3 linked regions of the Macaca fascicularis genome follow. The protein of the gene in region 2 interacts with the protein of the main gene of each other region in a pairwise test. Links are inferred from orthologs where the notes say so. Each region holds a gene or a part of one and is shown on either strand. Other genes may lie near its edges.

Region 1 (3,817 bases), on a different chromosome or scaffold from region 2:
GGGCGCGGCGGCTGGAGGCAGGTCTGCGGTCCGGCTCACCGCGCGCCCCGAACTATCCCCCCGCCCGCCTCATCCTGCCTCGCCCCTCTCCAGGTGCTCACCGCGGGTCCCGACCCCCGGGCCCGAAGAGTGGGGAAGGGGAGACCGGGGCTGTGCGGGGACATGCGTCTTCGCACCCTGGAGGTGGCCGGCGCGCTGGGGCTGAGCCCGGGCAGCGTGACCCCGGCTGTCCTACGCAGCAGGGCAGGAGGCTGGGGGGCGTGGCACACTCTGGAGCACCTTGCCTCCCCAAAGCCCGGTGTTCCAGGACGTGGAGCCGCGCCTGGGGTCCCAGCGGTGGAGGTATTCCGCCTGGGCGCTGCTGGACACTGTCCTTCCAGCCCCTGTCCTCCCCTCTCCAAGTCCGCGCTGGAAAATCACCCGCTGCGGGCTCCCGTAAGCACAGCTTCCTGGCGGGACCGAACCAGCCCCCCAGCTCAGATTTTAGTTCCCCGCAGGAAGCACACCCCGCCTTGTCATCCCGAACTGACCACCCTGCCCACATAACCACACCCCGCACTCCCTACCCCCGGGGCCCAGCTCAGAACCGGGCAGACACCCCCTTCAAATGTCTTCGCACGTAGGTGTCGCACAGTGTTTATCTGCTGGTGTCTCAGGGATTTGACAGTTTCCTTAATATTCCCACACATGGCCGAGAAAAATAAATAAATAAATGCGCTGTCTTCCTTAAAGAAAAAATAAGTAAATAAATAAAGTACCCAGTATCGTAAAGTAGGTTATCGTATTCTGTTATTTTGGATCCACTTTCTGCTTCCAAACGCAGGAACAGTGCTAGCATTGCTCGAGCCCGGGAGGAGAGGGGTGAGGGTCTGCTTCCTCGTTTTGCACTGAATTAGGGCTAGAATTGGGGATGGGGGTAGGGACGCATTCCTTCGGGAGCCGAGGCTTAAGTCCTCGGGGCCGTGTACCCGAGGCCGTTTCTCCTATTCCTGAGCCTCAGAACTGTCTTCAGTTTCCGTACAAGGGTAAAGAGGCGCTCTCTGCCCCATCCCCCCCGACCTCGGGAACAAGGGTCCGCATTGAACCAGGTGCGAATGTTCTCTAGCATTCTGCGCCGTTCCCGCCTCCCCTCCCCCGGCCGCGGCCCCCGCCTCCCCCCGCGCTGCACCCTCGTTGTTGGCTGCAGCCCGCGAGCAGTTCCCGTCAATCCCTCCCCCTTACACAGGATGTCCATATTAGGACATCTGCGTCAGCAGGTTTCCACGGCCTTTCCCTGTAGCCCTGGGGGGAGCCATCCCCGAAGCCCCTCATCTTGGGGGTCCCACGAGACCCCTGAGACAGGAACTGCGAAATGCTCACGAGATTAGGACACGCGCCAAGGCACAGGCAGGGAGCTGCGAGCGCTGGGGAGGCAGCCACGCGGCGGCAGAGGCGCTCAGGCCCGCGCGCCACCCCTCTGGCGCCACCGTGGTTGAGCCCGTGACGTTTACACTCATTCATAAAACGCTTGTTATAAAAGCAGTGGCTGCGGCGCCTCGTACTCCAACCGCATCTGCAGCGAGCAGCCGAGAAGCCGAGACTGAGCCGGCGGCCGCGGCGCAGCGAACGAGCAGTGACCGCGCTCTTACCTAGCTCTGCTCCACAGCGCCCACCTGTCTCCGCCCCTCGGCCCCACGCCCGGCTTTGCCTAACAGCCACGATGATGTTCTCGGGCTTCAACGCAGACTACGAGGCGTCATCCTCGCGCTGCAGCAGCGCGTCCCCGGCCGGGGATAGCCTCTCCTACTACCACTCACCCGCCGATTCCTTCTCCAGCATGGGCTCGCCTGTCAACGCGCAGGTAAGGCTGGCTTCCCACCGCCGCGGGGCCGGGGGCTTGGGGTCGCTGAGGAGGAGACACCGGGCGGGACGCTCCAGGAGATGAGTAGGGGGCTCCCTTGTGCCTGGAGGGAGGCTGCAGTGGCCGGAGCGGTGCCGGCTCGGGGGCTCGGGACTTGGCTCTGAGCGCACGCAAGCTTGCCATAGTAAGAATTTGTTCCCCCTTCCGGAGGCAGGTTCGTTCTGAGCAACGTCTGGTTTGCACTCCAGGACGGATCTCTGACATTAGCTGGGGCAGACGTCTCCCAAGCACAGACTCGCTAACTAGAGCCTGGCTTCTCTGGGGAGGTGGCAGAAAGCGGCAATCCCCCCTCCCCCGGCAGCCTGGAGCAGGGAGGAGGGGTGAGGGAGGAGGGTGCAGCGGGCGGGTGTGTAAGGCAGTTTCATTGATAAAAAGCGAGTTCATTCTGGAGACTCCGGAGCGGCGCCTGCGTCAGCGCAGACGTCAGGGATATTTATAACAAACCCCCTTTCAAGCGAGTGATGCTGAAGGGATAACGGGAACGCAGCGGCAGGATGGAAGAGACAGACACTGCGCTGCGGAATGCCTGGGAGGAAAAGGGGGAGACCTTTCATCCAGGATGAGGGACATTTAAGATGAAACGTCCGTGGCAGGATCGTTTCTCTTCGCTACTGCATGCGGCACCGGCAACTCGCCCCACCTGTGTCCGGAATCTGCTCGCTCACGTCGGCTTTCCCCTTCTGTTTTGTTCTAGGACTTCTGCACGGACCTGGCCGTCTCCAGTGCCAACTTCATTCCCACGGTCACTGCCATCTCGACCAGTCCGGACCTGCAGTGGCTTGTGCAGCCGGCCCTCGTCTCCTCTGTGGCCCCATCGCAGACCAGAGCCCCTCACCCCTTCGGAGTCCCCACTCCCTCCGCTGGGGCTTACTCCAGGGCTGGCATTGTGAAGACCATGACAGGAAGCCGAGCGCAGAGCACTGGCAGGAGGGGTAAGGTGGAACAGGTGAGGAACTCTAGCCTACCCTTCCTGGGAAGGTGGGGGCTGGGTGGGAAGCGGCCCTGGAGGTGGAGGAGCACAGCAGAGAGGATTAAGCCCCTGACGGGGCTGGCTGCACATCCCTAACTGGGAACCCTGGCTCCAAGCCCATTCCATCCCAACTCAGACTCTGAGTCTCACCCTAAGAAGTACTCTCATAGTTTCTTCCCTAAGTTTCCTACCGCATGCTTTTAGACTGGGCTCTTCTTTGTTCTCTTGCTGAGGATCTTATTTTAAATGCAAGTCACACCTAGTCTGCAACTGCAGGTTAGAAATGGTTTCACAGTGGGATGCCAGGAAGTAGGGAAGCTGCAGGAGCCAGTTCTACTGGGGTGGGTGAATGGAGGTGATGGCAGACACTTTTACTGAATGTCGGTCTTTTTTTTTTTGTGATTATCCTAGTTATCTCCAGAAGAAGAAGAGAAAAGGAGAATCCGAAGGGAAAGGAATAAGATGGCTGCAGCCAAATGCCGCAACCGGAGGAGGGAGCTGACTGATACACTCCAAGCGGTAGGTAGACTCTGCGGGTTGCTCCTTTTTAAAACTTAAGGGGAAAGTTGGAGATTGAGCATAAGGGCCCTTGAGTAAGACTGTTTCTTATGCTTTCCTTTCTCCCTCTGTATACAGGAGACAGACCAACTAGAAGATGAGAAGTCTGCTTTGCAGACCGAGATTGCCAACCTGCTGAAGGAGAAGGAAAAACTAGAATTCATCCTGGCAGCTCACCGACCTGCCTGCAAGATCCCTGATGACCTGGGCTTTCCAGAAGAGATGTCTGTGGCTTCCCTTGATCTGACTGGGGGCCTGCCAGAGGCTGCCACCCCAGAGTCTGAGGAGGCCTTCACCCTGCCTCTCCTCAATGACCCAGAGCCCAAGCCCTCAGTGGAGCCTGTCAAGAGCATCAGCAGCATGGAGCTGAAGGCTGAGCCCTTTGATGA
Region 2 (3,600 bases):
TCACTGTGATCTCCACCATGTTCCATTCATTCATTCATTCATTCATTCTTTTATTCATTCATTCCACGCTTGCATACCCTCTATGTCCCCAGCACTTTACCACACACCAGAGCACAAAAGGTAACCTTGCCCTCATGGGACCTGGAGAGTAATGGGGAAGCAGATGAACAAATCTGCATGTGTCCTGAAGTTATAGGGAATTTGCATTTAATTTATACCTGTTTCTTTACAGCACAGCTTTTTCCAGAAAGGATTTGAACCAACCTGCCAGAAAAGACACAAGCAATAACGTGATACATTTTAACCAAAGAAGAAAATTAGAATCAAAGGAGAAAGTGTTTATTGAGCACCTACTATGTCCCAAGCATCTCTGACACATCCTCTCACTCCATCATTTCCATATCCCCGAGTTAGTGTTATTCCCCTTTCACAGATAAGCAAAGCGAGGCTGACTAGCCCTAGCTGAGAGTCAAACAGCTGAGTCAGTCCCCAAAGTTCACACGACATCATAGAAAAGCTGTTGATGAGCTTTTGATTTGACGATGAGTTTCCCAGCAGCCTGGGGGAGAAGGAAAATGGAGCATATTACCCGATTGTTCACTAGACAAGAAAAAGCCAGATATTTCTTTGAAGGGAAGGAAAGTCCTTCCTAGCACTGAATTCATTTGTCTTTTCTTAAGTGGGAGTTGGAAGAGAGCTTGTGGGGTGGAACAGAGGGGGCCCTGCTAGGACTGTCCAAGTTGGGTGCTCCTATGGCATTCATGTGAGGAGGTTGCCAGGTAAATGCCCATGGTTCCCTGGAAAATGTTCATCCTCAGTGAACATCACCCTCGGTGTCTGTGCGTGTGTACGTGTGTGTGTACATATGCGTCTGGGTGTTTCTTTCTGTCTGTCTTTCTCTTTTTTATGTGGCCCTCCCCTCACTTCATCTGTTTGTTTGTTTGTTTGTTTCCACCTCTGTCCCTCTCTGGCAAAGGTCCCTGCTGCTCAAAACTCTGCCAGTTTTTAGGAAGTGCTGTTGTGTCAAAAGCCTGCACACGAGACCCCAGTGGGCCAGGACTGACTTCCTCCCCACACAGGGCTGGGCGGGGCAAGCAGGAAGGGGCCCGTTACAGTCAAGGTGACGCATCCTTGCTGGGTCAGCCCGAGCAGCAGCTGGGTTGACAAGCGACAGGAACACGGGTCATCTTTTCCCCAGGGGCGTCAGAATGGACCTGTGCCACCCAGGTAAGCAACTGCAGTCCACCTCTCTGGGCCTCAGGGTGCTCTCTTTTAGAATGGGACGGCAGCCCCTGCCTCACAGGGTCCTAGATAAAGGAATACAGCACAGGCGGAAAATGCAGCTGTGCGAAGCAAACATTTGTGGGCTCAGCCTAGGTGTCCAGTTGTGTTCTGGGGGCTGGGCACACAGCAGTGAGCAAAGCAGACGCTGTTCCCCCCTTCACGGGCTTGTCCTCTAGAGGGAGAAACAGGCAGTGACTCTAATGTGATGCCCTACGTCAGTTGGTGGCAGGTAGGATGAAGAACAGTAAAGCAGGATAAGGAAGAGGGGAGTGCATGGTGGAAAAGGCCCCAAGATGCTGTCTAATGAGGGACCTGAGGACGGTATCAGCTAAGGGGCCTTCTAAGGAACAAACATTTCAGCCAGAAGGAATGGCCAGTCCAAAGGCTCAGAGGTGAACTGAGAAAAGTGACTTGTGATTAAGATGATGATGTGATGTTGGTGACGGCGATGCTTGTCTGGGTGATACGAGGGACTTGAGGTCCCTTTCTGGCCGGGGGTTGGGGTGGTCTTTGGGGAGGCTGAGGATGCAGCCTAGAGCCGGGGGAGGGCCGGGAGTGAGCAACAGAGGCTCTGATTGAAACCCTCCCCAGGGACTAGGACCATGTGTCTGGGGAGAAAGAGGAGAAAGGAGGCTGCAAAGATGGTGAGGAAAAGAACATCAGGATTGTGTTTGGGGAGGTAAATCGAAGGCCCAGAAGAGGGGCCAAGTTTCTGTACCCTGGATGTCAGTGTTCTCCAGAGCTGCAACGGTTCTGGTGAACACGGCTGCTGGAATTCCAGAATCTACAGGCTGGTGGGAGCTGTCTGCTCCCCAGGTCCAGATGACCTCAGCCTTGTCCAGGAGCACCCTGGCTTCAAATGCACCTAACATGGAGCAGCCTGGCCCCGCCCACTGGGCATCCCCCTTCCCCCACTCCCCCACCAGGGAACACAGTTAGAGAACCACTGATCCATTTCAACAGCCCCCCAGTGGCAGAAGGGAGAAAAGAGGCCAAGCGAGGAAAACAGCCTCTCTGCGGCAGGGGCAGGACCAAACCCTGTGCCGTGACTCCCTGTCCCGGGCTCACTCTCTGACCCCTGCCTCTCCTGTGGGCTTTGGAGGTTCCCAAAATCACAGCTCAGTGAGCACAGCTGGGGGACACCTGGTCGGCACAGGGAGGGAGACCCAGCAAGGGGCAGCACCTGACTCAGGCCTCTCAGCAGACAGGAGGGTGGGGATGAGGCGGGGAGGGCACCCACTGAGATGCAAGACCCCCGCCTGTGTGTCCAGCAGGGCACTTTGTCCTTTGGGGTCCTAACATACTAAGGTTACAGGGATGGCTGTCCCCATATTGCAGATAAGGAAACTGAGGCTCCCAGAGGTGAACTAGAGGCGAGGACTGACTTGCTTGAGGTCACACGGGCAGTCAGCGGCAGAGCAGGGCTGAGAACCTGAGGGAGAAAGCCCCAAGTTGGCCGGGGCTGTGGAGAGGGCACGGGAGGGGAGAATCTGCTTTGCTTCAGCCGGTACTAGGGAGGAAATGAATTAATTGGGGTCAATGCAGCGATGGATTAATGGGGTCAATTGGTTCTCCATTGAGTAGTTGGTCTTTTCATTCATTCACTCTACAAACGACCTTTCAGTGTGCTAAGGAGTGCTGGGGACAGCAGTGACCCAGCCATGGGCCTAACCTTGGGGGACGGGTGTTGGTCTGGAACGTTGGGGGCGGGGTGGAGAGGCAGGAGTCAGATCCGGCAGGACCCTGACCCAGCCGTGCAAATGGACACAGGCTTAGAGATGGGAGGAAGCGACTTTTCCCACTGGGGCAGAGGAGATCTGGGAAGACCTCCTGGAGGAGGAGGCCAGCGGGAGGGAGGAAAGGTCATTTCCCCGTTGCCCAGACTGGGTCTTAATTCGGGCTTCTCCGTGGCCCAGTGACTTCCCCTCTCTGAGTTCCGATTTGTCATCTCTACGTGGGTGCCATCATCCTGGCCTGGCCTGGGGAAGCGGGGATTGGGAGTTAGCCAGACCTCGCTCAGGTTCCAGCTCTGCACCACCCTGCCAGTGGTCATGGTCTCTTCCTTCTGTGGGCCTCAGTTTTCCTACCTTTATTATGGACAGGCTGGTGACACAGGGTTCCCCAGGGCTGCCTCCCCTCCTCTCCTGAGGTGGGCCTGTGTCCGGAAGCAGGTAAGGCACCCTCCCCCAAGGCCTGCCGGGAAGATGAGAGCACCAGACAGCAAAGCCCCAGTGTGGCCGAAGATGAGCACTGCGCTGGTGCAGATAAGACAGGCAGGTGCAGTTAAAAATAGAGCCAGCTCGGCTCGGGGAGAGG
Region 3 (3,817 bases), on a different chromosome or scaffold from region 2:
GCTAGAACTACAGTTGTGTGCCAGCGCTCCCCAGCTCCAAATTTTTTTTTTTTTTTGTGGGTGTTTTTGTGAGACGGAGTCTCGCTCTGTCACCAGGCTGGAGTGCAGTGGCATAATCTCAGCTCACTGCAACCTCCGCCTCCTGGGTTCAAGCGATTCTCCTGCCTCAGCCTCCTGAGTAGCTGTGACTACAGGTGTGCACCACCACACCCAGCTAATTGTTGTATTTTTAGTAGAGATGGGGTTTCACCATGTTGGGCAGGCTGGTTTCCATCTCTTGACCTCATGATCCACCCGCCTTGGCCTCCCAAAGTGCTAGGATTACAGGCGTGAGCCACCGCGCCTGGCCAAATTTGTTTTTAAATATAGTTTTGATAATTATTCTCATTGTAATCCTAAGAATTTTGTTTTGTGCATTTGTTTATTCATTTATTTATAATATAGAGTTTTGCTCTGTTGTCCAGGCTGGAGTGCAGTGGCATGATCTTGGCTCACTGGAACCTCCACCTCCTGGGTTCCAGCGATTCTCCTGCCTCAGCCTCCTGAGTAGCTGGGATTATAGGCACCCACTATGCCCAGCTAATTTTTTGTATTTTTAGTAGAGATGGGGTTTCACCATGTTGGCCAGGCTGGTCTTGAACTCCTGACCTCAATTGATCCGTCCGCCTCGGCCTCCCAAGTCCTGGGATTACAGGCGTGAGCCACCACGCCCGGCCTGTTTTATGCCTTTATAAGCAGCTATTCTGAGAAAGCGTTCACAAGCCTCACCAGATGCCGGAGTCCATACTGCAAAATCAAAGGGAGGCTAAACACCCCAGTTCTAAAATGTTTTCAAGCTATTCAGATACTGTGCACACCTGCCCTTTGAAGTAAGGTCTATTATATCTCCTTTACAGACCCAGAAACGGAGGCGCAGAAGTTATGGTCAGCCCCAGGTCACACAGTTAACAAGAGCTGGCCTAGGCACCCAGGGACCTGGCACCCTAGCCTCCGTGCTTTGCTACTGAGCTTAGCACTCCTCTTGTGGCTTTTTCTTGAGGAGCCCAAGGGTCAGCGTCCCACCCAGCCATATGAGGCCAGTGGCACTGCCCCCTAGCTGGGGTGAGATGCCAGAGCCCTAGGATGCCTGAAAGGCTGGGCAGGAGGCGGATGGGCGTCGGCCAATGGCTGTCGCAGCGCCTCACCTGGCCGTCTGTGTGAGCCCAGGTATGCAGTAGGCTCCGCCCAGGACCCAGCCCGGCCCCTCCTCAGGCCTGGGCTCTGGGAGCGGAAATTCCGGCGCCAGCGGGGCAATACAGGAGCTGATGCGAGCCGGCAGCGCTGGGCCATGGAACCGGTAGAGACCTGGACCCCCGGAAAGGTGGCAACTTGGCTGAGAGGTGGGTGGGACCGGGGTAGAGTTGGGCTTGAAGGGGACTAGGTATGGGTCCCACCGGAAGAGGGAGGAGGGGAAAAGGAAAAAGAACCTGTGGACTGGGTGCGGTGGCTCACACCTGTAATCCCAGTACTTTGGGAGGCCAAGGTGGGTGGGTCACGTGAGGTCAGGAGTTCAAGACCAGCCTGGTCAACATGGTGAAACCCTGTCTCTACTAAAAATACAAAAATTATCTGGGGGTGGTGGCAGGTACCTGTGTAATCCCAACTACTTGGGAGTCTGAGGCAGGAAAATCGCTTGAACCCAGGAGGTGGAGGTTACAGTGAGCCGAGATTGCACCGCTGCACTCCAGCCTGGGTGACAGAGTGAGATTCATCCCCAAAAAAACACAAAAAACAAAATAACCTGCGGGCTCTATCAGTCAGTCAGTCAGTCAGTCAACAAGTATTTACAGAGTACCTACCATGTTCCAGGTACTGTGCTCGGCAGAGAGACAAATGAGATGACCCCGGGGGCCCCAAGGACCCAGAAGGGGGCCCCTCATTGTGGCAGCAGCCAAAGAGGCCTCTAGGGTGGTAATGGGGAGGCGGTGTCATGAAAACAGGAGGGAGGCCTGGCAGGCCCAGGCCTACTGTATCTTCTTTATCTTCCCTGGCCCCAGGGCCAGTGGGCTGTTGTTAAATCCATTTCTTAGAGTCAGAAACTGACGCACAGAGCCAGGAAGTGATTTGCTCAGTCTCTGGTGTCATTCTGCCCCCTCCACACCCTGAGCTCCTAGTGACAAAAGCAGAAGGCCTAGACTAGACTGAAGAGGTTGACACAGCCCCACCCTGGGGCTCCTATCCAAGGGGCAAGGTGCTGTCCAGGCTCAGCGAGCCCAGACAGATGGGAAGCAGCACACCCCACAGGCAGACTCAGAGAAGGGCCTCCTGACACGCAGTGCAGTGCAGCCAGGAGCAGGCAGTCAGGACACGCCTCCCAGAGCCGGGAGCTGGAGCGCACTAGACAGGCTCAGGAGGACCAGCCCAGGTAAGGGCAGGAATTCAGGGCTGGGTTCAGACTCCCAGGCTGGATTCCAGGCCCACCCCCACCACTTGCCAGCTCTGTGACCGTAGGTCTCAGTTTTTCTGCCCATCAAATGGGAAAGGCAACTCTGACCTCATAAAGTGGACAAAGTGAGACAATCATGACACAGCTCATTTGTAGCTCAATTCCTGGGGCTATTGTGAGGGCAGCAGCCGAATACAGTCACCATGCAGGAAGGAGGTGGCTCAGGGACCCATAGCCAGGGAGTGACAGGTTCATGAACTCCCAGTCCGGTGCTCTGAATGTGACACAGGGAACACACACACACCCCCCCCCCCCCAGTGAAGGAGCCTGGCTCAGGAGGGGAAGAATTCCTTTGAAGAGTGAGCAAGCTACTTAACCTCTGTGTCAGTTTTCCCATCTGTAAACAGGATAATGATAGTCTTTACCTCCTAGAAATGTAGTGAGAATCAAATGTGTTAATATGTGTAAAGCTCTTATAGCTTTGCATAGCACATAGTAAGCCCTTGATAGACACTTTTCTTATTTTTGAGTGTCTACCTTGTCCAGGCACAGGCTGGGGGTTAGAGACAAATGGTTATCTAAGGCCTGATCTTTGAAGAGCCTGTGATAAAATGGGAAAGACCGATGGTCAAGTGCAGGGGTTTGTGGAGGCTCGGGGGCAGTGGGAACAAGAGGAGAGCCCCCCACCCCACTCAGCCTGGGAAGTTATGGAAGTCTTTCTGGAGGAAGTTAGCTGAAAAAGGAAGTGAAGGAGCTAGAACAGCAACACCAGCAGGAGGAATAGCACTCTAAGGACCCTGAGGTAAAAGGGTATTCCAGGAGCTGCAAGGAATTAGCTCTGTGCATCTGAAGTGTTGAGTCTGGGGGGCTCTTCAGGATATGATGCTGGAAAGGGAGGTGGTAGCCTAATCATACAGGGCCTGTAGATCATGGTAAAGTCTGGCAATAATAATACGATGGCTATTATTGACTTGTCTCCCACGAACCAGACAATGGCCAAGGCCTTGACATATGTCGTGTCATTTAAAACACACATGATTAGAAGGTAGGTACTTTTATTATTCCCATGTTACAGGTGAGAAAACTGAGGCACAGAGCAGTGCTATTACTTGCTCAAGTGTTCACAGTGTCTCAGTGACTCCACGGCCTCTTGTTCTTATCCCCTATATTGTTAGTTCTCAAACTTAAGGGAGCATCATAATCACCTGCAGGATTCATTAAAATACAAACAGCTGGATGGGCGTCGTGGTTCACACCTGTAATTCCAGCACTTTGAGAGACTGAGGCAGTTGAATTGCTTGAGCCCAGGAGTTCGAGACTTGCCTGGGCAACATGGCGAAACCCCGTCTCTGCAAAAAATACAAAAATTAGTTGGGTGTGGTGGTGTGTGCC

Evidence for each region.
Region 1: the proteins of CYTH4 (region 2) and FOS interact in a two-hybrid assay, tested with the Homo sapiens proteins (2 studies listed by BioGRID and IntAct). The two-hybrid records come from large-scale screens. The link is inferred for Macaca fascicularis from reciprocal best matches to the Homo sapiens genes CYTH4 and FOS.
Region 3: the proteins of CYTH4 (region 2) and CNKSR1 interact in binary tests that used the Homo sapiens proteins (3 or more experiments, as listed by UniProt). The two-hybrid records come from large-scale screens. The link is inferred for Macaca fascicularis from reciprocal best matches to the Homo sapiens genes CYTH4 and CNKSR1.

What each region holds. Positions count from the first base shown.
Region 1 is NC_088381.1:143,230,179-143,233,995, forward strand, and holds the start of FOS (protein c-Fos), read left to right. Parts: upstream 1-1,544; 5' UTR 1,545-1,699; coding exon 1,700-1,840; intron 1,841-2,594; coding exon 2,595-2,846; intron 2,847-3,281; coding exon 3,282-3,389; intron 3,390-3,506; coding exon 3,507-3,817. UniProt on the Homo sapiens protein: Nuclear phosphoprotein which forms a tight but non-covalently linked complex with the JUN/AP-1 transcription factor. In the heterodimer, FOS and JUN/AP-1 basic regions each seems to interact with symmetrical DNA half sites.
Region 2 is NC_088384.1:14,388,339-14,391,938, reverse strand, and holds the start of CYTH4 (cytohesin-4), read left to right. Parts: upstream 1-1,111; 5' UTR 1,112-1,208; coding exon 1,209-1,227; intron 1,228-3,600. UniProt on the Homo sapiens protein: Promotes guanine-nucleotide exchange on ARF1 and ARF5. Promotes the activation of ARF factors through replacement of GDP with GTP.
Region 3 is NC_088375.1:208,959,032-208,962,848, reverse strand, and holds the start of CNKSR1 (connector enhancer of kinase suppressor of ras 1), read left to right. Parts: upstream 1-1,268; 5' UTR 1,269-1,327; coding exon 1,328-1,379; intron 1,380-3,817. UniProt on the Homo sapiens protein: May function as an adapter protein or regulator of Ras signaling pathways.